2 linked regions of the Lepisosteus oculatus genome follow. The protein of the gene in region 2 interacts with the protein of the main gene of each other region in a pairwise test. Links are inferred from orthologs where the notes say so. Each region holds a gene or a part of one and is shown on either strand. Other genes may lie near its edges. The genes, in order: rras2 and ral guanine nucleotide dissociation stimulator.

The links.
Region 1: the proteins of ral guanine nucleotide dissociation stimulator (region 2) and rras2 interact in a two-hybrid assay, tested with the Homo sapiens proteins (2 studies listed by BioGRID and IntAct). The link is inferred for Lepisosteus oculatus from reciprocal best matches to the Homo sapiens genes RALGDS and RRAS2.

What each region holds. Positions count from the first base shown.
Region 1 is NC_090716.1:10,231,726-10,248,034, forward strand, and holds the start of rras2 (ras-related protein R-Ras2), read right to left. Parts: upstream 6,731-16,309; 5' UTR 6,451-6,730; coding exon 6,349-6,450; intron 1-6,348. UniProt on the Homo sapiens protein: GTP-binding protein with GTPase activity, involved in the regulation of MAPK signaling pathway and thereby controlling multiple cellular processes. Regulates craniofacial development.
Region 2 is NC_090719.1:15,001,616-15,017,950, reverse strand, and holds the start of ral guanine nucleotide dissociation stimulator, read left to right. Parts: upstream 1-8,658; 5' UTR 8,659-8,839; coding exon 8,840-9,025; intron 9,026-16,335. UniProt on the Homo sapiens protein: Functions as a guanine nucleotide exchange factor (GEF) activating either RalA or RalB GTPases and plays an important role in intracellular transport. Interacts and acts as an effector molecule for R-Ras, H-Ras, K-Ras, and Rap.

The sequences.
Region 1 (16,309 bases), on a different chromosome or scaffold from region 2:
CCAAAGGTTATCTATTTTGTAGTAGAATTTTCACAATGATTTCCATTTGTATTCTACACCTATACCTACACATGACCTAGCTTAAGCATACCCAGGAACAACCTCACTATCTTGATCTATATTTATTCAATTACTCCTCAGCACAGCATGCTTTGTATATGACCTCACATCTTAATAATCAAAACCACCCTCCTCAGCTACAGCCTGGAAAGGGCAGAATGCCTGAGCAGAGACAATGCAAAAGAAACGGTTTCCTTAAAAAAAAAAGTCAGCTCTACTAATAAAGGAAAAGGCAAGGAGGAAGTAAATGAAAACATTTCCAGAATGCCTACCAGAGCAATCTTCCTTTTTTAATATGTTCCATGCCATTTGTGGAGCTAGTAAATAAAAAGCATAATGCTCATCATCAGTAGAGCCATGTTCACAACGGGAATCTTGTACCACACCCTTCCAAGTAACATTTTAGGCAATAAACCTCTATTTTCTCTCTAAGCAAATATATACTCTGGAGTTAAGAAGACTACAACAGGTTTGGCCTATATTATGACATTGGGGAAAACAAATGTGAAGATGTGCCTGACACAAGGAAATATAATATTCTTTTGAATTCTGTTTGTAATGTTCCACCTGGGAGTTATTTTAATCCCAAATGATTTGTTACCTTTCTCATTCACAAGCTGAGTCACCCGGCTGACATTTACTGGACACATGGCATCCCTCTGTGACACTCCCCTTGGAGACTTGTTGGTCTGGGTTGAAGAGATCATTTACGAGTCTGACGTAATGAACAATCTGCAAGAGCAACTAGGCGGGGTAACATCTCCATGAGTTCGGGGCCGATACAGGAATATGGAGTGACATACTGATCTTCAGATAAAGCCGAAAGGACACAGAGAAAGAGCTTGATCTTTGCTTTAGCCCATTTAGTAATTACATGCATTTCACGTTACTATGCAAACAAAGCAAAAACTACAATAAATAAGATACAGGGGAAAAAGAATGAAATTTGCTTGCAAGTATGGAATTTTTGTTTTAAACATTTTTATGATGGAAAATATAATCTCATCACAGAATAATAATATAAAAGGGAAATTTTGTTCATTTGGAAAAAGCTAACATCTCACTCAACACTCCCCTGGCTTCCTGAAGTCCAGTCTCTTGACTTTGTCATTGCCTAATGTCTGCCCCTTCACTTCAATACTAATGCTTAGCAAAGATAACATCCCATAGGTACTCCGAGTCACATTGTGACTCATACTTCCCCTCCTATAAGCTTATCAAAGAAACCACTGGAGAACAAATGTAACGATGAATCCCCATTTCCAAGACTATAATTCCAGTTTTCTCCCATCAAGCATACATGACTCAGAATAATGCTCTCATTATTTTCTGAAGGACAATGTGTTAACCGATTTATGTGTGAAGAATAGAAGTTCCTGCAACTGTTTTCAGAAACATTATTTAGATTTTAATGTCGTTTTTACAAGCACGTAATCATCATGACATCATGGAAGCCCACTGTACCTTAAAGGACAGGGGATATGTGTTCACATGGTCTTCAAAAGGTTAATTAAAAGCTGCTAAGCTTATTAAGCTCAGCTCTTTTACTATCAGCACAAGAATTGAGAATATCTTTATGCATTGCTTTACTATAAATGTGCAGTTCATGATTCTCCCAGAATAAGTGCTGTTTCAGAGGAATGGAATTACTAATTAAATGAGAGAAAGGACAATACATGCTACAAATAAATTACATTAAAATCTTATTCATCAGTAACATGTTAAATACATTAGCATTCTGTGTACACTATAACCAAACAACCACAACTATTCCTTTCAAAACAGGTTATTTACATGCCACAAACTTTCATGTACTTCTCTGTTTAATTTCTCGTACAAAATTGTAATCAAGTATAGTGACAAATAAGAATTATTTCTTTAAACACACATCTAAAAATAATTTATATACCAAGTACAATCCCAAAACAGGTAAGATAACACCAGCTACATAGTTTTCAATACATGATGCTTTCATTGAGATAACCAAATGCAATTCAACACATAAGAAATGTTTCAAAATGGTAACTACAGAAAAAACACTGATTTTTCTCAAGGTTAGATTAATGTAGTTCCTACACTAGTCAGTAGACCTTAAGGGCACGGCAGTGAGAATTTACTGCCTCTGAACCAGTTTATTTGTGGTAACAGATAGTGATGACATAAGTGCATTATTCAATTCTACCACTTGCTCTCGCTGCTTGGTAATGAATTTACAAAGGAAACAACAAGGACTGAAAAGCTATAGAATGTCTAGCTGCCTCCTACCCAGTATTCCTGTTCATATTTTTTTTGTTTGCTGTCTAAATACAATCAAACAACAGAGCTCACCGTTTCTCTTTCTACTCGTAGCTTAAAAATAAATTATTCACAACAAGCTCGCAAGAAAAATATCACTGGAATTTGGACGTGTTCTCCAAATAACCACTATGAACATCACAACATACAGTAGCTGATTCCAGGCCCAAGCTACATTCCCAACCTCATCAACTGACAAAATCCAAGTGCAGAAATACTGTGTATACTGACCTCCACATATCTGGTGCAATGATACATGTACAGCCTGATAAAAACTTATTCTTCATCCTGATTTTAACAAAATAAAACAGAAGTGTTCCATAGTTAAATCTTAATTTGCTTGATTTGACTTATCTCTATGTAGATATCATTTGGCAATGCATCATTAATTCTCTTTTTTGAATTGCATGATTTATCAATACGTGGAACCAACTGATCCATTCCTATAATGAATGAATTATGATGTGATTCCCTTGCCCTAAGAACAACAATGGATTAGAAAGTATAAATTGGTATTCTATTTGTCCTGTCCTTTATCAGTGATACCAGTCAGTTGTAAATACAACAGAGTGCGCTATCTTTGTGGTGAATTGTATCCCTTCATTGCAATGACAAATCAATAGGTTTCATAAAGGTTGCTGAAGTGACACTCGTGGTGGTACTAATTTTTAATTTGTAAAACATTATTTTTACTTTCTAGTGCAGATGGCTTTCTATTTCAGTGTTTAAATGTCCATGTTTTTGGTTTAGTGTTTCTCACAAATATGTACCATATCTTGAGGAATGAATTAGTTCTCACTTTAAGACGCTTGGATATTGTCCAATACCAATAAGTCGGCAGAATACTTGAAACAATAAATGCTGTGCATAACCATTTGTCCTCTGCGACAGAATTGCTTGGAAGACATATAGACAGCTGAGCGATTTGTTTCTCAGTGTTCTTCAAGTTGTTGTTCATCTTCCACTGCCTCACTGTTACAATCTATAAGATGTTTGTTTTCTTAGTGTGTACCTTATGCTTATTTTTTTTAAATCTACAATAAAATAAATAAAAACCTCAAACAAGCTAATTAGTGAACATTTTTTTAACATTCACTGCAAACAGCGTGTTTATAAAACAAAATAAAACCATACATTTTAATATTCAAGAAAATGAAATGTCTAAAACCTAAATAACCTGTAAGATTGTGTACAGAGCAAGAAAACAAACGACTCTTTTGACACATTATTTTATTTGGTATGAATACAGCCTCCTACTTTTTGTGTCCACTCTAAAAGAAACCACTACTATCAAACAAGTTGTTATAAGTAATGGGCAAAATTTCTGCTGAATGGTTTGAATAACTCAGCAAGTTTGTACGGACGTCTTCACAGAAAGTGGCAGTGATGTAGTTATGCCAACTGCAATGTGACTAGAGTCCTACTAAGCAATCCAACAGAATACATCTACAGTCTACAAACACAGTCTCAGTCTGGATATTACACATAGCAGACTGAAAAAACACAAAACACTCCTCATTTCCCAGCCCTATTAGACATTAACTATGCTTTTCAAAGGGAGCAGATAACAGCTTCAGGATTGTAGAGCTAAAAAATAAAGTACCAGCATATCTAAAGTCAAACATAATATAAAAATAAGTCTGGAAATCCAGCATATGGTCAGTGTGTTATACATTCTGCAACAACACTTCAAGCATAGCTCTGATAGTGTCTCATCAGACTGAAAAAGGTTTATTAGGACCAACCACAAGTCTGTAACCCAACCCTACTAATGTCCATGAAAGAACAATAATGGGCTTTTGCCTATCTTATAAATTGGAAACAAACAGAACAACAGGACAAGGGGTCTACCTGTTCTCAGAAAAACAAGACTAGAGATTCCACCAAAAGCATTAGTATTTCACTGCTATGCTGCTAAACTATTTTGAACACATTCCATTTTATACATTTAGGACATGTAGCCTGATTAAACTTGAGAGTTAGATGAGCTTAGCATTCCAGTGATCTCAAAATAAAAAAAAAACACTTGAATGTGCAGTAACCACCTTCTGGTTAAAAGATAATGGAGTCATTTTTGTCAGTGAACAGAGATCAGTAATTCAAACACCGGCTTTCCAGCCAATCAATGCACAGGATTTCTTTTTTGATTGGCACATTTATATTAAATTCAAAGCAGAAAACGGTCTAAAAGCATTAGTCTAAAAGTTCTTTTAAAAAACTTCCTATCATTTCCTAAACAATATTGCTTTGATTTACCTTGTAAATTAAGAAAGGGAAGTCAGATGCTTTGTGATAAAAAAATGTTTCTTTAAGCGGGGGACAAGTGGCTATCAGTTGGAATTTAGTGTATCTGTGCCAAGGCGAGGAATGACAACTGAAGAAAAGCTGTTTCTATGACAGCTGTTTCATAACTACCACTGCCTTTCACTTTGTTCTGCCACAACTAACTTGTTACTGCAGACCTTGGGTGATGGGTTATTGGAAAAAGAACAGCATCCTAAACTATGCCAGATATTCAGGTGTTTTATAACAAAATGCCGTTATTACAAATAAAGATCCACAGAGTATACCACTGACATGCTGATTTCACGCATATTCAGGAATAAAATCTTTAAGTCATTAATATACGGAACATTTACACATTTGCATTGAGCTTTATAAAAGAGCTCTATTCAAATGCGGCATTATTCAAACAATTACTTTTTACATTTTAAATTTAAAGTATTCATATACACAGGCTTCAGCTCCAGTCAAAAGTAGCAAAACTCTTTCTGGTAGCCTTGTGTTAAAAACATTCAAAAGCGGGTGTGGCTCGAACGATTATAGATTGAAAATCTGGACATCTAGATAGAAAGAAATGTGTCGATTTAAAAAGACAACACGGGTGGATTAGTAAGCGAAAATATATTTTTTTTTATTTCAACTCCGCTCCAGCTTCCAGTTTTTTTTTTATTTTCAGCTATGTGCATATTCCTACTATTACAGCCCTTTGTAACTGCGCATTAAAGTTATTTTTACTTTCTCGGCTATCACACAAACTCGCGTATTTGCACTTTCTATAGACGATACACCCCAGCGTCTTGTTCAGTACATTGTTTTTTCCCCGAAGTATCGACAAGACTGAGAGATCAAACAAAAACTAACATCTCGATTGTGAAGGCGTTGTTTCTTTTAAAAACGTTTACATAAGAAGTAACACCGCAGGGCAAATGTTTTCTTTTTTTCTTCCAAATGTTTAAGATCCCTGAACAAAAAAAACGATCCGCCCTGTTACTCTGATTGTTTACTCAGCTCCCTTTGGAAAGAAAAGTAATTACAAACTACTGAGAGGAACTTTTATATCAGGGCAAACGTAGCACTTAAGCCATGCGAGTAGAAATCTATTACCTGAATGCGTAAACCACTTCAAAAACTTTTTTTTTTTGAAAGGGGAGCTGCTCAAGTCAGGGGAAGGAGCTGTGACCTACGACTTAAATCAGTTATACTCCTAAACTACACCTATTTAGGAGGCGAAGGGACTCATCTCGAATCTTTAAAAACACACGCACTGAAGCCTTATCTTAGATGACGTCCCCCAGAAAAACCTAATGTCATTCTTAACCTTACTTATTAAAAAAAGAACTTAACCGCAATTTAACTCTAAAGCGCTAAAGTAGATGAAACCAACTTCAAAGTCATTCATGGCTGAGGAATCGAAGTCCACACCTTCATTGTCCGTTTGCACTGAAACTACAGCGTCTCCTCCGGCTGCATGCGGGTGGGTACTACTCCTCAACCCCGAAACTTTCATTTGCCCCCTTAAAACCAGCAATTCTGGTGGGGGGGAAATATCATTTTATAGGTGCTCTGCAGGCCTAAGCCACCGTAATAACAGGTCAGACCCCCCTTTTCCGCAAGTAGGAGCCCCCTTACTCAATGCAACGACCCCCCGCCTCTTCCTCCATAAGGCTCCCCTCGAAAATAGCAACGCCTTAAGACACCGGGTTTACTGACCTGGATGAACTGGATAGTTAAAGCTGACTTGCCGACACCACCGCCTCCCACCACAACGAGCCGGTACTTCTCCTGCACCGAGCCGTCTTTCCAGCCAGCCATCGGGGAAACACAGCCTTCCTCGCCTGTGAACAGACACCCACTTCTTGACAGGCCTGCTGGCTGCAGGAATGTTTCGGGGGGAAATAAGGCGGCTGCGGCTGTGTTATTGTTCTTTTAAAAAGAGCCGTAATCCGTGTGATGGAGAGAGAGTTAATTTTCTGTCTTTCAAGGAAAAAAGTGCACACTGTAATGCGTCGGTCCGGCCAGCTCATACGCCCTCCTGTGAAAACGCTACCAACTGCAGCGCTGCACTGAAATGTGGAACAGAGGAGTGAATCAGTTACTACAAATGGCCGTCGCTAGGGGCCCTTCTTCAGCGAAGATATAGCTATGAATATGTATGAAGTGGACGTAAAAAATAAATCAAAAGTTACATGCCTTTTGTGAGGTTGTATTTTCGCACGATGCTACAAGCAGCCTTCAGCAGTTCTGTCAGGCGCATTCTGCTATAAGTATTCTTTACTTCTATGAAAAATGATGTTTTAATTCTCATTTAACTATGGGACATATTGTAAAACAGGAATACAGTCCTTAGACGATCTGTTCGATTTAAAATTCCCAAGCGTTTTCACTATAAAACATTGTAAAAGTTAAAAATGTAAACATTTAAATGTTTTGAACTGAATTTTGTTAGCTTGTGTCTGGATTTTGAAATGGGTATGCCTAACAAAATGAGCAGTTTAACAGTGGTTCTTGAACATAACAAAATAAAAGAAACCGAACAGTATTCTCTATAAATATTTGGGTAAGCAGTTTAATGTAACAAAGACAAACTTTGTAAAGAGTAAAGAGCTTTTCAGGTACTGTTGCTTTAACGAGACCTAAAAAACCTTTAGACACACTGACCTTCCACATTTTTGGAAGGATTAAATATCCCCACATTACAAAGTGAACAAACTGCATTTAAAGTTGCTAGAAAAAATATTAATTTCTCAGCTGCAAAAAGGTAGGCAATGGGTGATGTATACCCGTCAGCAAAACATGATTAACACAAATATACCACTTAATTTCCAACAGTACTACAATGACAATCGTATTTCAAAGCAGAGAAAAATCATCTTCAAGTGCTTTTCGGTAATAAATATAGCAGTGTCTGAAACACTGTATGAAAGTATAAGCAAGTGATAAATTAGAGGTTATCTTGTAAATGTATTTGTGTAAATTACTTTTTGAAACCTGACTATTACCTCATTGGAATCTCTGTAAGAGAGATAATATTCACTGTTAAAATGTGTTCTATAAAATAACTGATTACTGGGGTCTTTGAAAAATGCATTGTGGACCGGAATTCCCTTGGTTTTCAGAGTAGAACAAGAAAAAAATGCAAAATACAAAAAATAACACACTTAATGAAAGTAACATAAACACGTCCTTTCTCACTTTCATGTATGATGTTGATAAAATCTGCCATGTAGAATGGCAACACATATTTTAAAATATAAAGCACTGACAATATGAAAGTGTGAGCTCGTTATTATAGCCACACTTCTACATTAGAGCAGAGAAAATGAAATTGAAAGACTGACATTTTCTTTCCATGGGAGTGTCTAATGGTTATGACTTTATAAAAACATTCAAAGGTAAATCATGTTGGTGTTTTGCCTGTAGCAAGTAGAGTACATGAATCCTTTATTATTTCTATCTTCATTCATTTCTTTAGAAATAACTTTCGACCAAAGCTCAGCTGACTTTCTGATTGTAATTGTATTTGCAGAAATATCTAACAAAACTGCTCAGTATGTTTCTCTTATAAGAAGACTCTTTTGAAGTCACATTTATAACGCTAATAACTCGACAACTCTAATTGTTTGCAGTGCCTGAGTTATTTATTACAGTTTGGAAGGAATGAAATTATAGTATCTAATTTCTGAAGTTAACAAAACCTTCAGAATTGTGTGTTTTGCATATGAGGTTAATCCACGCCATCTGAATATGATCATTCGTTCAAATCAAATGGAATTAAGCTTCCAGAAGAGAAAAAAAACATGTTCACTTGGAAAGGATTCCCTCAGTAAAAACTGAAACCACGTCACATGACAAATTGTTTAGAAATGTTTAGATATGTTTCTAATCTCAAATTAGTTTATTGTCTGTATGGAAAAACGAATATCTCTATAGTATCATTGTTTATCAAGAGAAACATGCCTCTATACTGAATTACTTCAGGGGTATATTACTTTTTTTTAAAATTTGTTCGAGTATGATAGTAGGAGTAGTTGTTATATCGCCATAGATAGTAGAACTCACATACTCCTTCTCTACTCCTCATAACCTCCGGACTATAAAAAATAAACCCTGTGACAGTCGGTTGAGTTTACGAGTGTGTTTGGATCTGCAAAGGTGACGTTTGCTTACAGAAGAAGGTACACAGTTCAGTTTGAACGGCACTTAACTCAGGCATGACTCAGTAAAAGAGAGAAAGAATGTGCTCTGGTAAAGTTACAGGACCTTGAAGTTATTCGTTGACCACCTGTCCATCATCACTTGGATCCTTCAGCATGACTCAACGACAGGAAGCAATCAATCCAGGACTGATCAGCCATGTGTGTTGATGAGCCAGTTATAGTATTGTCACATCTGAGAGCACCATGTAAAGAATAGTTTCTGCACAGCAAACAGTTATAGTTGCAAATGCAATACAGCATTACGGAACATACAAAAACCTGATTAGAGATATCAGGATCCATCACAAATGCAATATCATGACATGATGCTACTAGACTGCATGGTTTAGGGATAAACCTTGAATATCACCCTTTACGATATTGACAAAGAGTTTTTTCTCTCTTAAATCCCTATCCTATAGTCTATATTATTTGCCAATGCCAGACCACAGAAATAAAACATGCAATATTTTCAAATGCTTGTCAAAGGGAACAACATTGTTTTGGCAGCAGTAGTTTTAAGTAGAAGGCTCTTAATGCCAGCTTTAGGAGGCTGTTGTTCTATATGGCAATCTTACTATAAAGTGATTTAACTCACTGATCAATGTGTGATCAACTGTTACAGCAATACTAATTCATTATATTCAGTTAACCAACCTGTAATGTTCAGGCTCCTTTTTCCGAAAATGTGTTTAATGATGTAATTATGTCACAACAAAAACTTACTTCCCCGATCTAGTTATGTTTTTGATCTGAATGATCTAAATAGTAATAATCCCGGTTATCTAAACAGTTTAATTGAATTTACAAACTTTATATGTTTATCCGTTCATACTTGATCATTTTAGGGATAAGCGGAATGTCTCTTTTAATTAGGAAATTGTATTATGTCACAAGTGACACAATTATAATTTCAAAGTTGGATCATAAGGAATACAACTGGAATTTTAGGCACTGCTGTAATCCATGTGATTTGCACTGCTAATACTTACTAGTTATTATTCATTCATATGTTCTAATCATGATATATTTTGCCTGTATTGTTGCCAAAGAAGTATTAGCATCTATATCCATGATTGTGAAATTACCAAGGGACGTTTATGGGAATGGTCATCTGTGAAACATTTGTTCACATGAATCAAGGAGTCAAAATTAGCAACAGCTTGTGGGTGCCAGAATGTCTGTTTATGATTTGAAAATGTTATCTCTGGTTAGCGAACTGGACACTTGTAAGTGACAATTTGGCAGGCTACAGTTCTGGTTAAAATGTGAATCGTACAAATGCTCTATTTCACCCTTTTTGTGTTATTGGCAGAGATCTTTTATATTTCAGGTTTCCTAAAACTCTAAATATAAACTTAAAGAAGGAGGTCTTGATGGTTATGCATGTGTTGTTTGTGGTTGTTCACTCTTGGCTAAGTTGTGTCACTTGGGGGTTGACAGGGAAGTCAAAACCACTGTTTCCAAGCCTGTGCTGTGAACTGTTGTAAAATGTTTGGAAAAACAAGTCTCCCAAAAAGTCAGCCGGCCAGCTGTTTAAGTATTTTGAGTTCTTCTTCATCGGTATCCACAAAATTAAAAATAATACCGTACGATAGCAGGATAATTTGAGAATTGGTCATTTGATAAGCACAAAATACCGTTTTACCTCATATCTTTATGGAAATATAAACTGCAGTGTAAGGGTCTTATGTTACACAGAATCAGGAGCTACTGTACAATATATTATTGCAAAAAATAAAGGCCTCCACTAGTGTTTTTGACTATCATAACAATTTGATAACAATTTGTTATTGATAAGTCTGTTATTTAGAAGTCATTTTGAATTTCACGTTGATGAGAATCTCAGAAAACTCGATTATAACAACTCAATTTAAACTATGTAAAAGCAACTAGTATGAAGTGCTATAGTAGCAATACAGCAATCAAATGTAATTTAAAATTTATCATATGTTGCTCATTATTGATATCATTAGGTTATTTCTCCAAAACCTCACTACAACAAAAAATGATCAATATTAGTTGTTAGCTTTAAACAATTTGCAAATACTTCAGTAAATTACCCCCAAATTGTATATCTGTTTAAAATGGAAGAACATTGAATGAAAAGTGTAGAATAGCGCAAAATGTCTAAGACTTTTGCAAAGCAGAATATTTTCAGCACTTTTCTTCTTATGACATATTACATTACTTTGTCAAAGAAGAATTGAAACTTACCAAATAAAAAAACTATTCCTGTAAAAAGCTGCAAAAAAACAGACAAACACCGGGAGCAATATAATAAGAATAATACTAAATTATCTTAATATAAAAGCAGAAATAAAACCAATGTCTTTTTCTTTCCTTAATCTCTGTGGCATAAACTAGTAATTGCTCAAATCTAATTTAAGACCAGCAATTAAACGCTCAAGTAGACAGAGATCCTTCAGATGTCATTAGTCTGCGGAGGCTTCAGAGGCCTCTGGTAGTCTCTCCCTTGATTTTCACATTGAGCAATATAATGTGATATTGATAAATGTTCTGTATCTGCATGCTCCTTTGAAAATTATGTTGCTCATATAAAACATATTGTTTTGCACTGGAATTTTTAGCATTTCAAAAAGGAAGGGCTACCTACTTGAAAAGGCTTGGAGAAAATCTGGCAAACGGCTGGAAAAGCTTTATCACTAATTTACCTTGAAATTAGGCAGGAGTACTCAAAAATTCAATTTTAACTAGCTTTAATTTTTACGCTGAGTTAATCAATAATGGTCACCATAATCTGTGACCAATGATTCAAGCACTCAACAAACCAGATTTTAAATAAAAACTGTAATGCTGACTTCTAGCTGTGGCACTGATGTAGCGAGCGAAGAAGTAATTTATCCTGGATATTCTTTTCTCAATTAGACAGTCAGTACTACATTCCTAGGAACTGTATATAAAACTCTCTTTGTTGTTGGCTGACAATCAGACTAGATCAAATGGAATTGACTCTTTCTTCCTTCCCTGGATTTGCATACTGATAGGCTTGATGATTTTAGGATCTTATTTTGTTAGTGAGGGTGTACTGGATTCTTTACCAGCTACAGTTTGTTAAAAGTGTACTCGCGTGCTAGCATGAGCTTTCTGTTTGATCTTTGACCGTACAATTTTATGAGAAATAGTCTCTAATAACCTCACAAAATCAATTGTTTGCCCCTTACCCAAAAAATCCATAATAAGTCTGGGAACTGTATCCAAGTATTCCAAATCGTCTTTACCTGGGTAAAGGTTTTGGGCAGGTGATGACTTTCCAGCTATCTTAAATCATCTATTTCTCCAAAAGCAATGGTTTCTATGCTAGACAGAGCTCTGAAACAACCATTTTGAGGTATTTGTTGATGATTGCCTGCTATTAAATTGATTGTCTGATATTGATCCCAAGTGGATCATTTAATCTAATATAGATGTATGATCAAAGGACAGGTTGGGCTCTATGGGCCAGACAGAGCAGATTTGGGCTTCAATGGAGTCATTAGCCGATTGTGATGAGGATTCTCCAAGCAGTCGTGCACAAGGGGCAAAGCGCCACTAGGCTAAATTGGTCATTAGATATTAGATTAGGTCATGAGTGTGCAGGCTTACAGTGGCATCAATCAGAGATGAGCTGCTTCCTCCGATAAGACATCATGGTGTTTATCACTTCTGTTGCACTACCAATGACAAACTGGTGCTGGTGCACATTTTTTCTGGTACTTTTTGTTTGCCTTCTGCTGTTGTCAAGACATTTTTGAGGTGCCAGGGTTTATGAAAATAATTGCTTGGGTTTTGAAAAGTCTATCATTCAATCACTCTGGAAAAAACAGCAAAATTCTTGCACAGATGACAACATGGATATGAAGATAAGAGGGAAATGTAAGTATATGTCCTGTAGAACAGAGCAATGGTCAGTGTCTTAAGTTCTGGAGTTTCAAAATGTTTTGAATGCCTCTTATAAATAAACATTAATCTAGAGACCTTTATTGCTCTGACATTCATGATCACCACTTTTCTCATCACTGATTAAAACTCTGCACTCGTGAAAACACTATAATGTAGATTCTTTCTGTTTTTAACAGATTTGTATTAATTAGTCATTAAATTCATTCCACTTTCTCACATTAAAAATAAGCTCTGCTTCCAAAAGTCTTTGGCCTCTAGTTTATTATTTTCTTGGCCGGAGAAGACTTGGCACCCACAAATTCACACTCGCTATACTGGATGTACAACATTGACCTTTACTATGATCTTCATGCGGTCAAGAAAAGCAGCCCAAAATGCATAATCAGATTATTTTGGTTTCCTTTTTTTTGTTTATTTTATTAAGAAGTCTGATATATAGTACAGTAGCAGAGAAATTCTGATCTTTCTTTGAAGCCTCAACTTCCACACCAACCCCCATTACACTGCAGGCTTCGCAATTATTGGTGTATTATTTTACCTTGTTCTTGCAGCCAATACTGTCAAAGTGCAAATAGTCATACTGTTTTAATGCAGTATAAACTACAGGCTTCAAGAGTGGCTCTGACTGAGTGCCTGCTGAAGCATTTCAATAATGGTGTAAAGTCTAACACTGTGCAGAAAATGGTAAAGAGCCTAGCTCTGTGCAAAGTACTCACTGAAGTTTTATTCTACTTACAGTATGTAAAATATTTTCATATAATAAAGTTATTAGTTATTCCATATAAACTATTCCTTCTTAAATGTTGTTCTTTAAAACATCTAAGGTTCCATTAATTCTCATCTTTCAAATTTATTATTTATTAGAACTATCACTAAATCTTCCTCTCTCGTATTTAAAAGGGGGTATTTTAAGTATGTGGTTCATGCAATTTTGAACATACCACAGTAGCCCTACAATTGTTAAAATTACATCTGCTATTAAAACCAGTTCAGTAGCTAACGGGAAACCTCTGAGCATTAAAGACTGAATATAAGGATTGTACTGAAATAAAATGTTAGCTTCAATAACAACAAATTAGTGAACAAAATCAAACTGAAACACATACCGCATCATGCATGTCAAGGAATGTGGTCAGAGCTCTGGGTTCCAACCCTGGGTGGGGACACTGCTATTATCCTAGAAAAAGGCATGTTACCCAAATTGCTCCAGCAAGGCAGACTGTATAAATGGATATCAAAAATTACATGTTAAAAAAAGTGTTAAACTGCTTTGAACAAAAGTGTAATATTGCTGTACAGGTTTTTGACATGTAATAATATACCATTATCAACGCTACATATTTGTACTGGCAGCATAATCATATGACAGAACTGCAAGCACAATCTGTGGCAGAATCTGTCCCAAAATGCCCAGGATGAGCTAAATGAGCCATGTATGGTCTTTAATGTCGCCAGTTTTTACCGCTTAAAGGATTTCTGCTTTTGTTAGAGTCTCACACTGATGCCCACTTTTACACATTACAGCTGTGAAGGGCTCGCTCATGCTGCTATAATGCTGTAAGGAAGTTTCCAGTGCCTCATGGGTTTATGAAGGTCAGATTTTACATAAGAAAGGTTTGTAAATGGGAGGAAGCCATTCAGTCCATCTTCCTCCTCTAGTAGTTCAGCCTTGAATGAGCCCAGAGTTCAGGCTTCAGCCACCTGGCTGGGAGTGTTGCAGATAGTCGCAGGTTTTTTTTTAAAAAAAGTTTCCTATTCTCTGTTCTATATCCCGTAAATTGCCTTTTAGGTTCCAACTGCGACCCTATGTTCTTCTTTCACTGCAGAATGTGAAATGATCCTCTGGGGCAAACCTATACCCTTTACAATTTTATATATGTGGATCAAATCTCTCAATCTCCTTTGTTTTATGCAGATGTTTAGCTCCTTTATCATGTCAATCTCCTAAAACAAGGAGTCTTTCTTGTTGCTCTTCATTGAACACTAAGACTAGAATATCCTTTTTTTGGTATGATGACTAAAAACCAAGCACTATTCTAAATTAGGACTTACTGTAGCATGGTAAAGTGAGAGCATAACTTCTGCTGCTTTCTGCTGTACACCCAAGCATTCTGTTTGTTTTTCATTGCTTCCCTACATTGTCTTGATAAGGACATAGAATCCATATAACCACCCAGATTGGTTTCATGTGTTACTTCCTACAGCTCAGATTCACCAATGCAATACAGTTTGTACAGTATATGTTCTGACATGATGCATAGATTACTTTGCACATCTCAGCATTAAATTTGTTTTAAATTTGCCAGGTTCCTCTTTTTTTGGTCTGCCTTTTTGTTATTCCTTGCTGCTGTTTGTGTGAGATTCATTTTTGTATCACATGCAAATTTAAATAGCTTGTTAATTCTGCCAGAAATGAAATCATTGATATAGATCAAGATCTGCAACAGGCCTGTAACAGATGCTTGTAGTACCTACTGTTTCCATCCATTTTCTGATCTCTTCTGATCACAATCCAATTCAGCATTGAGGCAAAGTTGGAGCCTAACCTGGTAAGTAACAGGTGCAAGTCAAGATAAACCCTGGATGGGACCCTGGATGTCCATCGCAGGGCACTTACTGCTTATAAGTGCCCAATTAGAGCATAAGCCTTAAAACTACATGCAAGTTCCTGTTTATTAAGCAGTTGTTGTCCTATTTTCATTCATCGTCTTGGATTCCTAAAGTTTCTGGTTTATAAAATGAACCTTTTATGAAGGCCCTTGGCAAAAGCTATCTAGAAATCTAATTTTGTTATGTCGTGTGCTCTGGTGTGATTAACTGTCCTTGTGGCTCATTTAAATCATTTTAATAAATTACATTAACAAAGCCTTCCTTTAAATCCCATTAGGCAGTCTCTTAAAACGCCGTAATTGTGAAAGTACAGTCTTCTTCTAATATAACTATAGCTGTTGTTCCTATAGGTTAACCAGTAAAAGAAGGAAGACTCATTGGTCATTACTTTCCTGGTTCCAGTCTGTGGATATTCTTGTCTAAGCTTTTGTAAAACTTCAATCAGTTTTACTACAATAATCCAATACTGATGGATCTACTTTATAAAAAAGGATATATTTATTTGAAAGATATCTGTGTCTTTGCCTGCATTAGGTGGCCTATAAATTTCACTTGTTGTTTAACTTTTATATTTACTTGTTACCTGTAGTGTCTTGCTTAAGTTCTCTAGTTTGTATTTTATTTCAGATATAAATTTTGTGAAAGTATCTGGAAAGGTTCAGATGTGCTTTACAGAATACTAATTATTACTGTTCTTCACAGGAATCACTATTGTATTCTGTGCTTGCTTTAAAAATGATTGCCTTGATACTGAATGGTAAAACACAATAGCGGTGAGTAGGTAGATTATTTTGAAAAGAGTGCTATACTGTATGTTAAAGATGTTTGTTTTTGTTTTTTCGCCTGAAACAGGTTTGAATTTTATCTGCAAGAATCCTATACGACAGATAGTTCAGTCACAAAGAACATTTCTTCTTAAAATTTCTGCCGAATTCTGAAACTAAATTATTTATAGAGCATAG
Region 2 (16,335 bases):
GTTTCATCCTAGATGATGTTTTGCTTTTTATTTTTTTATTTTTTCAGAAGCTGTTAAAAGCCAGCGGCTTGGTAGCAGAGCCATGCCCTCAAGGGCTGTGGTGCGCCCTCTGGTGGCTAGCACAGGTCATGCGGCAGTGGACGCTGGAAGGGCCTTAATCTGCCTGGAAAGATGCTTAAAGGGACTTTGTTGTTGTAGCTTCCTCCCTGCTCTTTGAGATGCACACCTCATGTCATACTTCTAGGAACAGCACAAAGCCTAATCAGACTGTGTGTCTCCACTGACGGGGAGACCTGCTCCGATTCCACATACAGTAAGCAGGAGTAAAAGGGAAAAGGGTGATGTTTCTGACGAGCTTATTCGTCATCATTTTATTATTTTTTCTTATGGTTGATTATTTTCAGTATTTTGTATCTCTAGATGGGTTTTGGAAATGGCATGGAGGAGAGCTCATGAAATTGGATCCCTTCATCTTAAATGAAAGATTGCAGCGGAGTCTGCGTGAATTTTGTTTTTTCCTGTTGCATATGAGCGAGCTCTGCACTGTTACGTAATAAGCAGTGCTAAACAAAAGATGGCACTGTTTGTCTTTTTCCTGCGCGGTGCACCCTGCTGTACCTTTGCGTTTTCAGGGTTGTCTCCTCTAAGACTCTTGACCAGCGTCGTCAGTGTCTGGAGCCTGCCCAGCTGTTGCTCTTTTCACAAACAGGAATAAAATCTCCTGTCTTGCACCTTCTAGATGTGCTTCTAAACCAACACATTGTTTGTAAAAAAAAAAGGCACTCCCTGAATAAAACCTGATTCACTGCCAGGCTCATTCTTGATTAAGGGTATCATTTTTTTTTCTCGAGAGGTTTCTACGGACCCTCTAGAGACCCGGGTTCGACAGCCCCTCTCCCACGTGATAACACACATGTCCTGGTTTGAGCTCATCACACACGCTATCCCTGGAGACCGCTGCACGCTCACTTTAATGTGATCAGTGAGTCACAGAAGGCCTCTCATTCAGTGATTCAGTGTCTGGAACTCTCTAGACTAGATCAGTGTTCTGACTACTAATAGAACTTAATGGAGCTTTTCTGCAAGCATGGAGTGGGATGAAATACATTATGCTACACCCTCCCACTCCTTTTCCATCTCGCTTCTGGTCTCCGTGAGTATCCTGTCATTACAGCAATTTCTGAATCGAGGGAAATGCTTTTCCGCGGATCTCTCTGGCATAAACACCCCACCCCCCCCACTGATCCAGGCTAGGAACGAGCCCAGAGTCCCGTCCGCCTCGCAGGCACAGGAAAAATTAGCCTCTTTCACTACCGGATCGAGGAATTCCATCGGATGTTCCCTTTTGTAAAATCTGATTTTTAGATAGCCAGCTCCGAGACAGTAAAAGCAAAAGAATCCCACTGGGTGCCTGAAAAGTAAGACCTGGCTCCGTGGTATGGCTGCCAGCCAGCAGCTGCAGGACGGGACTAGTGCCGGCTGTTCTGTGCCTGTTCTTGATAGAGTGTACAGTCCCCTGTCCGTTTACTGGCAGGCACTGTCTCCATACAGGGGTAGGGTGTCAAAAAGAATGTTTTAAGCGGATGTTTCAGTCCTCGGGTAGGCAATCAGGGTCATATTCCATACTATAAATTGATCTAGTTAAAGTTTATGATTGCCGGTGTTAAGTGTCACAATTATACGATAACCACTCAGGCATGCCCAGTTACACTGAAGTGTTGCACTGTTTTCCAGTATCCAGTCATTCTTAAAATAAGAGATCTGACTCATGATGGCTTCTTTGCTATTATTAGGATAGAACAGCACAGGAGGGAGCGGAATTTTCTGCACCAGGTGGTCGGGGGGGGGGTGACTTGTAGTCATTGCCCCCCAGTGAGGGCTGGGAAATGGCGCTCTCTCACCTGGGCCCAGTTCTGCATCTGTCTGTGCGTGAAGAGGTGCAGGGAGATACAGGGATGACCTCACCTCGCGCAGAGAAAGGGGTGTCCGTTTCCCATCACTGCCAGCACACAACAAATGCTCTGCCGGTAACTCTCCGCAGAATCCCCTGGAAAAAAACCTATGGAACTGTTAGGGATTTTTTCAGGATATTTCTGTTGCGTCGAGCCAAAAAAAACAGTGGAAAAACCGGACCAGGGTTTTGATTCTGTGCAAAAAGTGCTGCAGCCAAACGATTCTCAAAGCAGGATCTTGACTGTATAAGCCAAACGGTTTCCTCATTGCTTTCTGTGATTCTGAAATTATGGATCGTGTTCAGTTATGTACCATGGTAATAAAGGCTTGTAGTTTTAACTCAGTGCCACTGCACTTCGAGGAAAAATGAGGCGGAAATTTACAAGTGCTGATTGAAATTGTGGCATTTACTGCTGCCTTACAGCCCTTGGGTTTGATTCCAGAATAGGCCCCTCTCTGTGGAGCTTGCATGTTCTCCCTGTGCTCTTGTGGGTGTTCACCAGGTGCTCTTTCTTCCTCCCATCTCCCAAAAACACCCTGTGTGTGCACGTGTGTCCCGTCTGGGGTGTGGGATCAGGCTTCAGTTTGTCACAGATCTCGCAGGAACACGCTTTCTGATAATGAATGGATGAATTGGAATATTGTTCCACTTTTTTCATGACATTGATTGTAGATTTGGTATGACATTACTATAAACCAGAGGTTCCCAGTCCTACAGGGACACTGTCTCTGCTGGTTGTCGTCACAGCTGGGCTCTGCAGCTCCAGTGCTGATCGATGACCTCATTCACTGCTGTCATTGTATATGGAAGTTATGGAAGTTACCTGTAGCACGAACTGAAAGTTTTCTGCACACGTGTTGCAGTTCATTGTCTTGAGTGGCACAACTGTAGGCACGAGCGGTAAAGCAGGCTTTAAACATACCAGAACCGTGACTCACTGCTTTCAGGAAGAAACAGGAATCAGTGCCAGTAATCTCCTTGCAGTGATAAGGAGAATGACCTTACCCAGGCCGAGATAACACGTGTTTATTGGCACACTGGACTGTTTCCTTTTAGGTTTATTTACCCAGATGGCATCCATGTTTTTTTAAGAATTAATATTGATATCCACACATGGATCGTGTCAGTGAAGCAGAGGACAAACCACAGGGAATACAATGACAAATTAGGAAGACAGCTGATGACTGATGCTGGAACTGATGTAGTCGGATGTCATGAACAGTACAGGTGCCTCCCTTTTGCAACAGATGGATAATCCTATGTGTTGATCAGATACCAAACAGTGACAGATTTTAAGGTAGATCCTGGAGTGGATGGTTTTACTAACTAATCATATCTCGAACCTGTAATTTTTAAGACGGTATTTCATGGAACCTTGTGAGCCCAGAGGCTGGAAGATCTTACTTGCTCCAGAGTTGGGGTGTTCAAAAGCAGGTTTTCCTTGGCAAAGCTGACATCAAAATCTTCAGTGAATCGAACGCGATTATTTTCTTACAGTATAGAGCTGGGATTGCTAATCCCTCATGTCTGCACGGTGGTTTTGCAGCAGCACAAGTCTTTTAAGGAAGCATTGACATAGAGGGGATTAGTTTATTGACATCTGGCTGAGCTTGTTCCGTGTGTAATATTCACAAAAGACAGGCCATAAAAAAATAATTTGATGAGATTTAAATTCATTACCTTGTGAACTGTACCTCACCCCCCCGTCCTACCTCTGCCTAGCCAGCTGTGAAATTGGGAGAATGAAAGGCGAGTGGAAAGTAGAGGCAGGAGGAGACAGAAGGAGAAAGTACCGTTTGAAATGCAGACTTGAGCGGTTGCCACAGCAACAGGGGAGCTGGGTTTCCTCCGAATCTGATCCCCATCGGCCTTATGGGATTGAGGCCTTTGAAACTCGGGCTCCTCTCTCAGCCTTCACTGGTAGCGGTGTGTTCCTTTTGCCACGGGAATCCCGGTTCTTCGCCGTGCCCGTGGGGAGCGGCGGGGATTCGGGAACGCTAGCCGTCGTGTGGCCGTGCCAGAGACTGGCTTGCGAGTCGGGGAGCAGTGTCTCTCGCCTGCAGGCACCGATGAAATCAGGTCCCCGGAGAGCAATAAGACTTCACGAGGGGCGTCAGCCACGGGGATACTGAGGGCACTTCCCTGTTATTTATCGATTCTTCCTCTGTGGCTCCTGGATTTAAGTGGCCATCCAATTCCATTCTGTGTGCCTGAGCACAGGGGCGGCTCCACATCCCCCACGTGATCCCATCACCCTTCTCCTTCCTGGGGTTCTACAGCACCTGTGCCTAGTCACGTTCCAGTATTAACAAGCTGGGAGTATGAATTGTGTTGTAGATGGCTCGTCGTTGTTCCATTCTATGTTAGAATACTTTATTTCTTCTCTTTTTTTTTTCTCCTAGCCCTCTTTTCTAAGCAGATGGGGAATAATAGAGAATATTGATCCCATTTCCTTGATCTCATTCCAGGATTGCATTTCCCTTCTAAATGATATTTTAGGGGAATTTAATTTCTAGTTCCAATACAGCATGCAAATATTAATCATGATTAGAATCTTAGCTTTTTGGAAAATGTAATTTCAGACTATGTGTGTAGCATGTCTAGGAATGTGCAGATTATTAAGCCAGTGCTAGGATCTGTGTTATGGAAGACAGGTTTCCAGGAAGCCTAAATGCTGTAGGGCAGCACAGTAGCACAATAGTAGCATTGCTGCCTCACAGTACTGAGGCTCTGGGTTCAGTTCCTGGGGTACTATCTGCATGGAGTTTGTATGTTGTCTCCGTGTTCACATGGCTTTCCTGCTGGCGCCCTCTTTCCTCCTACGTGCTGGTAGGCGAATTGGTTTCTGGGAAAGCTGGCCCTGGTGCGAGTGTGTCTGTGTGTGTGTGTGTGTGTGTGTGTGTGTGCGCGTGCCCTGCGATGGACTGGCGTCCTGTCCAGGGTGTGTCCAGCCTTGTGCTTGTTGCTGGCCAGGATGGGCTCCAGCCCCCCTGTATTGGAAGAAGCAGTTAGAAAACGGATCGATGGAGAAGTACGGCCAGATTCGTTTTGTAGTCTCTGGATGAATATAAGGTATACGGATTATGAGTAGCAATCCTTTAGAAAACCAGTTACATGCTTGTGTTCCATTAATCGTGGCTTCCTGGGGGCACCAGAGAAGCACAGCAGCCCAGCTGTGTGCCTGTCCATTGGCAGAGAAAGGCATTGTAGTCTAGTCAGGTGGGGCGGCTTTCTCTACTCACAGCTGGCGCGACAGGAGGGAGCAGAACAAGAATGTAGGGTGGATGGGAAGTGGGATTCAAAGACCTGAAGGTCTGGTCTGGAGGTGAGAGGTACAGTAGTACAGTGTTCCTGCCGCAGCCTCTGGCATCAGGAAGCAGCCGGAGAGGAGTGCTGGGGCTCAGGCCCTCGGGCAGTCTCTGTCCCAGAAACGGAAACACTCTCGCCTGCCCGACGACACTGTGGGCCACTGCGGCGCTCCCCCGCGGCTCTGGGGTTTCCAAGCACTGCTCCAGGAACAAGAGGGCTCGTGAGGAGAGAAGGAAATATTTGCAAGGAAGGGCCCTGACGCCACCGGACCCACAGCGTGAAAGGCTGAAATACTGTAACGCACACACCCAGTAAGAAGAGGCAGCAATGCGATCGTCTGCCCTGCTGTGAAATGATACAAGACCTGAGAACAAGAACAAGAACAAGAACAATCAAAAGGAAACACTAAGCGTTCACGGAAATTGATGTTTCCAAAGCAGTAGTGTTTAGTAGAAACTTGTTTTCAAGTATGAAGAGCAGGATATTGATGACACTTTAAACATCGAGTCAATCTTGGAGAGATTTAAGGCAAAAAGACAGGGAAGGAGGATGGGGACGAGGCTGGTGGCAGGAGCCGGTACAGTCTGTGCAGCTGCGTTTCCGCGGAGCAGCTGCTGTAGAGTTCGCCGAGTGCCTGCCGTCACGGTGCACTAATCTCCCCCTCACTACTTCCTCCTCGGGAGAGGGGCAGAATACCACCAAATTAGCAAAACCGTCTTAGAAATCAAGTTACAGCAGCTGCACACGTGGGGCTGCCTTTCTCCTCCACAGATGTTCACCTCCACCCACTGGAGCCGGATTCGGAAGAAACGGAGGGGTGCACATCTTCTGGGGGTGTGGAATAACGGAGCCCCCGTTTTTGGTTCCAGTTTAAGCGTGTGGACTGGGCCCCGTGGTCTACAGATCTCTAGTTCCTGTCTTTGTTGTGTCTCGAGCTGACTGTGACTGGCAGTGAGCTTGGTGACCCCATCTGGCAGCCCTGTGGCCCCGCAGCTCCCAGCTGGCAGCCCGCTGAAGCCCAGCAGTGAGAGCCTGGCCAGTACCTGGAGGGGAGACCTACTGGGAGAGCTGAGGCTGCTGCTGGAAGAGGTGTTACTACTGTCTCTCAAATAAGGTCTTAAATAAAAACTTACATTTTGCCAGAATATTTTGAGAACTGCAAAGAACATCACTGGCACCAGTAAAACGTATATGTTCTACCCACCTCAGAATATTGAACTGAGGAAGACCTGCCTTCAAAAATTGTGACTCTGTTTTTCACATCACATCACTTTCAGTAACCACTTATCCCATTCAGAGTCACAGAGAGCCAGAGACTTATCAGGAAGCAACAGACACAAGGCAGGGTACACTGTGGACGGGACGCCAGTCCATCACAGGGCACACGCAGACACACACACACACTCGCCCCAGGGCTAGTTTCCCCAGAAGCCAATGAACCCACCAGTTTTTGGACTGTAGAAAGACACCGGAGCACCCAGAAAGGAAACCCTACATGAACATGAGGAGAACATGCAAGCTCCACACAAATCCCAAAATGAGCAGGTTGATTCCAGTTCAGTACTGTAGTGGGTAGATGGAGGAAACGCGACTTACAATATCAACATTATTAGTGTCTTGTAAATAAGGTCATTGGGAAAGAAACAGATTTATTTTATTTATAAGAGAGTCCTTTCATCGTGATGTAAAGGAGACAAAGCATCCTGCTAACCCCTCGTGACCACAGTGTGACTTTATACAGAACAATGACCAGAGAATGACTATACCCACAATATCCAGCTATTCTTAAAAGCTGACGGGTCATCTCCAGTCAACCCCTGGGTCTACTGTATATGAGCTGTGGACACTAGCAGCCGAAATGCCCATTCATTGCCCTGTAGCTGAAGCTGGTGCGTCAGCTTGCCATGGAGGTAGAACATTCACTGGTTACAAGCCAGACTGATCCCAGGATCATCCAAACAGTAAGTGAAAAAAAAACACAGATAATCAGCTTCAAAAACACGGGCGGGTAGCTTGTTCCAGACTCCCACCGGGTGTCCCTGGACAAGGGCGCAGGTGATAACAGCAGCCGCTGGACACGGGGGTGCTGCTTATTGGAGTGCGGGTGTTTTGTCCCTCGCCCTCCCTGTTCTCTTCCGAGTCCCATGTGCATATGTTGTCTGCAGTTGCGGTTTTTTTTTTCTTCTGCATTTCAGAAGACTGCCCGCTGGGTCAAATGAAGCTTCATTGCCCCTTATGGGTTCAGTGTAAAACACTCAGACCCCAGTTTGGCCCCAGTGCAGGAGCAGGATGGGAAATCGCACCCCTGCGATTGTTAAAATAAAGAAAGCGCGCACGTGATTAAAACCTGCTCTGATCTTAGCTTTCCCTTCTGTTGTACGTGGTGGGTGTTGGATTAGATGCCGCCAGAAAGCCACGTTTCAGATTCCCAGCACAGAGACATGCTAATCAAAGCTAGAGTTGCTGGCATTGAAAAAGCCCAGAAAAGGCAATTCTGCATTCGTAGAGAGAACGACTCCAACACGGGAACCTGCAATTCCGAGTAAAAGCCATTAATCTTGCATCCCACCCCCCCCCCGAAAAAACAAGGATCATCTCCTCTCCAGACCTAATCCCTTTTCCCAAATCAGTCGATACTTCCAGCACACAGAGTTTCAACACAGGTAATAAACTCAGGGCTGTTTTCAGTGCGCCCAGATTATGTCACTGGAGTAATCCCTCATAAATAAGAAATGTGCAAGCACTTGTGATGCAGCACAGTTAAAGGCGAGGAACAGCCCGTGCTGCTGTATAGCTCGTTTTAAACGGGTCTTTGACCGGTTTGAAGGAGCTGCCTGGCTGAGATGCGTTATCCCGAAGAGACCCCAGTTCTGCAGACAACGACCTTCCGTTTCTGGCACCACCCACGGCCACGGAGGAGAAAAACAGATCCCCCGCACTTCGGAGAAACGCGTGTCACGGAAAGAAAGCTCAGGGGAGGGTTTAGTGGAGACCATAATTATCCAGAAGCTTCGGCCACAGTACTTCCCACTGTTTATACGGTCAACAGAAAACACCGCGTCGCTGGGTCCCGAGAGGAGAGCCCATTCACGCTTTCGTGCCCGAACTGCTAGAAAACGACGCGCTGCCCCGTTTTTTTGTTTTAGAGTAAATGGGATGGGACGGGTTCGACCACGTTTAGCAGCGACACCATTCCCTTTGCACCAGGGTCCAGCTCATGAGAAATGGCTCTTTCCTCTCTCTCTCTCCCCCCCCCCGCTTCGCTCGGAACTTGTCGTCTGCTCGGGTCGAGAATGACGTCATGGATCCTCTGCCGGGCCGGGGGGAGGGAGGAGGGGGCGGGGACGGGGCGGGGCCTCCGCTCGGGAGGGGGCGGGGCGGGGCCAGCGCTAGAAAGTAGCAGCCGAGCAAGAACTACAGAGGCGAGAGAAGCAACAAGCGCAGCAATGCTCTTTTAGACGCCCCCGTCCGTCCGAGACAGGACTACGGCTTTCGCGGACACCCAGCCCCGTCGGACATGAAGCAGAGGGCGCGCAGTCTCGGGTCTTCTCCGGTGTAGCGGGATCCCCGTCACCAATGGTGTACCTGATGCAGTCCGAGGTGCACAGCGTCTGCTCGGGGAGCCCCGATATGATGTTTGATGCCAGCGCCTGGAGGATACGCAGCATCTGGGACGGGGTGAAGCTGGAGGTGGCCGGCGAGGCCAGCCCCGTGGTGCTGCACAGCTTCACTCAGCTGGACCCCGACCTGCCCCAGCCGGAGGTAAAGCGCTCCGACCTCCCTGGGAGGTGTGCTCCGTGAGAGCTGGCGCCGCTCAACATCGCTCAGTAACAGATTGCTTGAGATTCTGGGTTGTTTTTTTTTTATTTTAACGAGGGCTACGGCGAATTGCATACTACATTTACGAGCTGTGGGTTTGATCTGTGCTGGAGAAGCCAGGCAGGCGGGGTTCTCGGAAAATTGAATCCCGTGAGCTGTGGCTCTGCGTGAGAGAGGAGCTTTGCGCTGGGGGGGTTAGTGTTGTGTCTTTATCACCCACAGCGACCCCCACAGTGTTTGTAAATACGAAGGCTTTCTCGCCCCTTTGCTGGCACGGCTCTGGAGTAATGCGGGGTAATAAACCGGTGTCGGGGAATCTGTGGGTCGCGCCTGGGGTCGGTACAGTGTACAGCACACCGTGCCCTTGCCCAAAGTCCGATGTGGCTGCAATGTCAGAGGCTCAGAAATGTTAGTATGAGGTGTTCTGCTCCTATTGAGACGTGTTTCCGTTTCGGGTAGAAAATGCGTTTTTTTCCTCTCAGACGTTTCCGTGATTGTCAGAGGATAAATATGTACTCGAGACGAGTGCAGCACTGTACATTGCTGTGTAACGTGATCACCAGGCAGGCTTATTAAAAGGACATGGCAACAGAGGACATAACTGGGACTTCCAACGAGCTGGGAAGTTTACTCCCAGTTTTACTAGAAGTGCCGGTGCTCCCTCAAACTGTCTTCGGAAGCATGGTGGAATGTGACACGAGTTTCTTCCGTCAGTACAGTCGTGCAGCTGCTAGACACTGGCGAGGAGTTCGGTGTGTATTGTAGTGCTCTAGTCTTGAAGGGAAACAGCGCAGCCTGTTCTGGACTGAACTTCAGGATATCTGATTGGATATCCTGGTGTCATTGTGGTTTTGATTTGCAAGAGAGGTAGGGAACGGACACTGCGCACCTCACCCAGGGTGCGCCCTGCTTGGTGCCTGTTTCTTGCTGGGGTGGGCTCCGGCCCCCCATGACCCTGAATGGGATGGTAGAGACCGATACAGAAGGAGAGTTTACCCAGCAGTCGGGCGCGTTGTCCTTGCAATGCATCTTTGACTTTGACGCAATGTTATCCTGGTCACCTAGCTCTCTGATTGAATTAAATTTTAAACCTCACTATTCAGCGGTTGTGTTGCTTCATTGTGGGGCTGTTGCTAATTCCCATGTGTGGCACTAGGAGTGCCGGTGCCGTCTCCCTCTCTGGGGCTGCAGGTTTCGGACACTGTCTTCCTCTGTCAGCTGCCCCCATCCCAGCCTCGCAGTGTCCGATTGTCCGATGACTAATTCACCCACTCGGATTGCCTTGCAGTGATCCAATTCAGTATTCTGGGGGCTCTGCAGTAATTCAAAAGGCAAAATATTGGAAAAAGGCCTGGTTTTTTAGTCATCGTGGTGATTAGATTCAAGGGGCTGGAGTTCTCTTGCCACTTTACACTTCATTGTGCAGCAGGGTAATTTTTTACAAGCCATTGTCTTTGAGTGGCAGTCAAGAGTTAATGCGTGACCTGGCCTGTGTGCCCCTTCAGATATTTCTGAGCAATGTTGCGCCCTAATCTCTTTGCAAAAGCCTTTTATTAACTGTCGTGTTGAACATGGATTAACAGTGAAGGAGATCCTGTGATCCTGGTGGCTGCCTGGCAGATCTGAAGAAAACCAATCAAAAAACTCCACTGAAAAAAGATGATTGGATTCTCTTTGAATGGGCAATGTAGTGACACCCCTTGAAAAATCTAGGAATAGTTCACTTGACTATCCTGCTTTTATCTTGGCGCTGATAGCAGGTTTGCCATTGTCGTGCTGCTGATTTCTGCCAGGGATACCTGTGAGCCACCTGTGAGGGTTCAAATCTCATCATTTGTCCGCAAAGAAAGGTCTACATCTACAAGGCTGCACATATTTTTAATTCCACCTCCAATGACCCTCATTGTTATAAATATAAACCTCTTACACCTATTAGAAATATTACATTTAATTTCTTCTTAAAATACAGTTGTCAGTGCTCCTCTGTTTCATTTTGTTTCTATGCATGGAGTGGAAAAACAAGTGAATCTTTTCATCAAACATAATACAGTCTGTATTTGGTCTCTTTGAACTAATTGACCCCTACATCTCTCTCTTTATGGGGAAACAAATGCACTTTGTGACCCTCAACGATGTTGACATATCCTATTCATACTCATTCAGCACGTGGGGATTTCAGATCAGGAGTGGTCATTTTGTCTGTGTTTGAAGGATGCATTTTTGTACTGCCTAGTCCCTTTGATACAAGGGACACTCGGCAAAAATCTATATTCTCTAATAAGAGAAGTGAATAAATAATCTAATTTGCTTCTGTATTATGTAAAAAGCTTTTAAGATAAAAGGAGGACACGGGCAATAGGAGCAAAGACAGGCCTTATTATTGACCATCAAGCACATCGTCTAATGGGCTTCTGTTGTTCAAGCTAATCAATGGTTATGGCTGTTATTCATTTTAATTTAATTCTGAAAGGTTTATGTTCTGTCTCTGTTTATGCGACTGGTTTGGTACATTTTGGCTTTATATTTTCCCTGTATTGAGTGAGCTTCTTACATGAGCCTTGAGCGTCTGTCCTAGTGAGGAGCAGCTGGAGAATTTGCCCCAGCAGTGTACTCTCTTTCATCAGTGGAGAACGCCCACGAGAGTGGCCTTAATGCACAGTTGAACAGCTTTTGGAGATTTTCGGTCTGTTTTTTTTTTTTCTGCTTTCGACCCAAAACCCAAAGCAAAACAAAATACAAATCTTTCTATGGCTCCGGCTTCATTTTGTCAAAGAGTCACAGAGTTAAAAAAAAAAAGCTTGTTAGAAACGGGGCCGCCTGACCACTGTGCATGCCCCACACAGGGCGGGCTCTTCCCACTGCGTGTACAGTGACTGTGTTCTCTGACCATTACGATGGCCTCTAATCCCCTCGCCTCTAATCCCATTGTCAAATTCAGGCTAATCTGCATTCTCACTTCAAGGTGCAGTAATCCAAAACTTTTTCTAGTGCATTCTGCATCTGCTCATCAAAGAGTGCTCCAGACTGCAGTGGGTGAGTGTTCCTCCGGCATGTTCCAGGAGGGGAAGATTCCCGAGTGATACAGCTGTATTTACTCTCCCTCCTACCCATTTCCAGAGTGTATTTTCTTAATCGGCCACTTCAGATATGAATCTTCTCAGATCCCTTTGTCCTTCAGTGTTGTGGCGTTGGTCCTCAGCTCTTTCCAGAACTCATCACCTGACAGTCCTCCAAATTGGATGCAAGGATTTCCTGCGCCGAGCAGAGGATTTGTTTTCCTTCCTGACTTGCAGATATTCCTTTGTTTAACACAGCTAGTTGTCTTAATATTCCGAACGACTGCGGAACTTCGGCTGCGATTGCATGAGCTTTATGCCAAGAGGCTTTTGAGACAAAATGTGTCACGAAGGTCTTTGCTCGCCTGCGAGACGTTTCTGAGCTGAATTCCAATCCGCGTCTTGCTCACAGGTGACGTGGTAGGTTGAGGCTGTGCAGAGCTGGAGAGGGGGGGTGGGGTTGTGAATGGTCCTTCTGCCTGCATTGATCGCTGCTCGTGTTTCAGGCTTTTTGAGAAGCCGATACTGTATCCCAGATCAGATGCGGGACTGAACATGTGTTCTTCTGCTGGGAGAAGATATCGCATCGCAGCCTGGGGGGAGGGGAAAGTCACTAGCTCATCGGCCGAGTTCTGCACTGGGGGCGCTCGCTCATGGTTGACTCCGAGGAGATGTCTGTGCCTGGATGTGGTGCACAGAGGACAATTCGATCGATCCCTCGATTCTTTTAGAGGGCGATATCACATCGCAGACAGTTCTGCTGCTTAGCCCTTCCTCCTACATTTTCATACCCCTCTGATTTGCACCACAAGTGACAGAGAAACTTGCCCCTTGTTTTTGTAGGCGTTTTGCATTTGCAGATTGTTCAGTGACTGCGCGCCACAGACCAGTCATTCCGCGAGTCTTCTGATCTTCTGTAGGACAGGACAATATGAGAAGCCCAGCTTATTTCAAAACAGGAGGTTGAAGGCTTGTTCCTTTGACACACACTCAACGTGCTTGCTTTATGAATGCAAGCAGAAGTGTAGAGCTGCTAACTGTGACTGTTAGAAGCTAGATCGCATACAGTACTGGGCTGTGCCCGCTGCTCTCGGCTTGCAAGCAACAGCTTGTGTTGTTATTCAATGAGGTGGCGAAGCTCAGAGCTAATTGGGTCAAAGGGTTAGGCAGCAAAGCTTTCTGCAGCAAAACTCGGCTCTGCAGAAGGAAGGACGTGGTTTTTATTTTCTCATTTTTTTCAAACGGCATACGCCCCCCTAGGAGTCTCGCTTTGCTGACTTCTGCAACAAAATTCCAGAGTTTTTCCATTTCCTCCCATTAAAGCTTTTTCCAAATTACTCATCCAAGTTTTGTTTTCTCTTTCTGTATTTTTATGCAAACTACTCCGGTCAGAAGCCTGCCACGGTGCCGTAATTAGAAAGCAGGCTAATCTGCGAAGACAGAGACTCTTTTGTGGCCTTTCTATTACGACCACACAGAGCTGATCTTCGGGGGGCTCTGCTCTGTTCAGTGGGACTATTTTTAGTGCCACATCTTGTTTTCGTTTCTGCAGTTATTGTGTTTTTCTGCAGCCTCAGCCCCTGGCTGCTGACATCAGGCTGCGTGGGCGCTGATTTACGGTCTCGGGATTTTGGGGGTAAACATCTGGTTCACCCCCTGGGAATGCGAGGAATGGGAAGCACTTTTTTTTGCGATTTTGTTGTGTTTCTTTTCTCGGCGAGAGCTGCACGCCGCCGGCATTCTCGTTTTGCAGACTGTTTATTAGTTTTGCAGATTCCTGCACAGAGAGAATGACAGGCGCAAGGAGAGAACCATGTGTGCTTCGCTGTCTGAACTGGAAATGCCTTTTCTCTGTCCCAGAGCAGCTCTTGTGTAATCAGCTCTGCCTGATTCATTCAAGGCAGCGTGACTCAGTGATGGAGCTGAGGGCTTCTTGGAAGGCTTTCTGGTATCTGTTGCATTAATCAGGATTTTTACTGTTAAGTCGGAGGTTTAAAGGTTGTCCGTTACATAGCAATCACTATCTTTCCACAGTAGTTTTGCAACTCTTGAAGAGACCCGTTTGCCCCAGGAAAGCAGAGACGAAACATTTAAAATTTCGGTCCAGATTTAAAGCCCGGCCGCTGTTCAGGATCGGTCTTGCAGACGTGTGACAGCGAAGCACGCCCTAACTGCATCCCCGTCAGGTCGCAGCTGTGGAGGCCGTGTGGGTGAAATCACAGCTTGGACTGTTTTAAAAAAAGAAGGAAAAGCATGTCAAGCCTAAAGTGGCTTCAGAGGTTTGCCTTCTGTTTTGAAAATGCCTCGGAAGCCTTTGTAGCTGTCCCAGCCCCAGTGTTGGGCGAGCTCAGCTGCGTGACGTGGCCGAGAGCTGGAGGTGACTCAGTGTTTTGTAATAGCAATATCAGAATCTGCTGCGGTCGTCTTGTTTTGCCATTAGCAAAGCGCATTTCTCCATCTGCTGTTGTGGGTCCCCCACCCTTATGTTATCAGTCGCTAACTGACTGAGAGCCCGCTGTGAAAGAGCTGCGGGTCACGGTTTCGGGAGACAACGATGATGAGGGCGAGATTCACACAGCGAACGAAGCCTTCGGGCTCCGAGCAGGGAAGAGTTTAAACCCTCCTGCAGCAGATTCGCCTCGTCCGCAGAAGCTGGACTGATCGGGGGGATCGGGGGCCTGACCAGAGAGTGGAGAACCCGTTTTTCCTCCACCCTCCGTGTAAGGTCACGCTCGCGTCTTGATTGCAGCATACTGAGGTGAGATGGAGCAGAAGGAAAGAGGTGCAGAGCTGGACCCTGACCGCAAAGGAAGCAAAGGAATGATCCATAAGGGCACGCGGGCTCGCGTTTCCTGATTTAGTTTTAACGAGGCTAAACCATGTGTTCCTCTGCTGTGGTGTGTGCGCTTGGGCTGCCAGCTCAGAGGCCTGTCGCTGGCCAGGGCCGGACCTGACTGCCTTCCAGCGCACAGCCCTGACCGCTTGGCTGTGTGGCTCTGGGAGGGCTCGGCTGGCCAGCCGGGCGCGGGCGGACAGCAGGCCTGCTCCGTGGCTCAGGGGGGGGAGGGTCAGGATGGGCTTGCACACGCGTCTGTGTGACCAAGTGCGTTTGCGTGGGGACCCTGCAGCCCAGTGGGACGGCGGGCTCTTTGGCTGATTATAGCAGATCATTAAACCTCTTAGCGATTCCCCTGGGGCCTTTGGCCGTTGAAGTAAATAGCGTCAGAGATCGCAGCCTGTGCTTTTCCGACGCATCCCGTTTCATAACCATCAAAGCAGATCTCCATTCGGCAGTCCTTAAGCGGTGCCTTTCTTAAATGTATTGATGTGGATTCAGTCAGACAGATTCAGTCTGCGTTATTGATTGTCTATGGAAAAGAGAGAAGAGGGTGGTGTGCTGCCAACGTTTCTGTTTCGGATCACGTACAGCCAAACCTGCTGGCTTTGCCTCAGCTTGCTTTGCCTTCAGTTAAACAGTCTGTCTCCGGGTGTCACTGCGAGTGAGAGAGCGCTCTATCTGCTCACGAGCAGCACTTCCGTGGGGAAACCCCGCCACGTGCTCTCCTGTCTGGAAGGAGCTGCAGCCCCGAGAGGCAGGGAGCGGCGGGTCATTAATCCTGTTAACGAGCGCCTGCGTGATCGGCTCTCGGTCCCGGTCCGCTCTGGAACGGTGGTCCCCGTGTGAAACTGGGACCAGGGGAAGCCTGGTGGGACAGTAAAGAATCTGGGGGGTGGAGTTCAAGTGAGACGTCTCCTCCTTCATTCATGCATAGATCTCCTGTTCCTTCTGTAGGGAAGCTCACCTTTGCTTGGCCCTTCCGATCCACTTCATTACTGAGTTTTGCTGCATGCATCTCCCTGGTTCTTTAATTGCTAATGAGCAGGATCTGCCTAACGATTAAGGCGCATCTTTTTCCTCGCTGCCGTCAGATTCCTCGTTTCTGAAAGACGCCTGGCGCTCGGGTCTGCAGCAGGGCCGTCAAACTCTCCATGGCCTGTGGATATTGTGTCTTTTCTCATGCGCGCGGCGGAGAACTGAGGCTCCTTCCCAGCCAGGGGGCTGAGCCAGCGCAGAAGTCCCCCTGCAGCTCCCCCGCGCGCCGGAGTCCGAGACCGCGAGCCTGGGGCCAGTGCCTGCTCAAATACTTTCACTCGGAAACAAAGCCGCGTGAGCAAAGACTCGGGACCCCTCGCTGC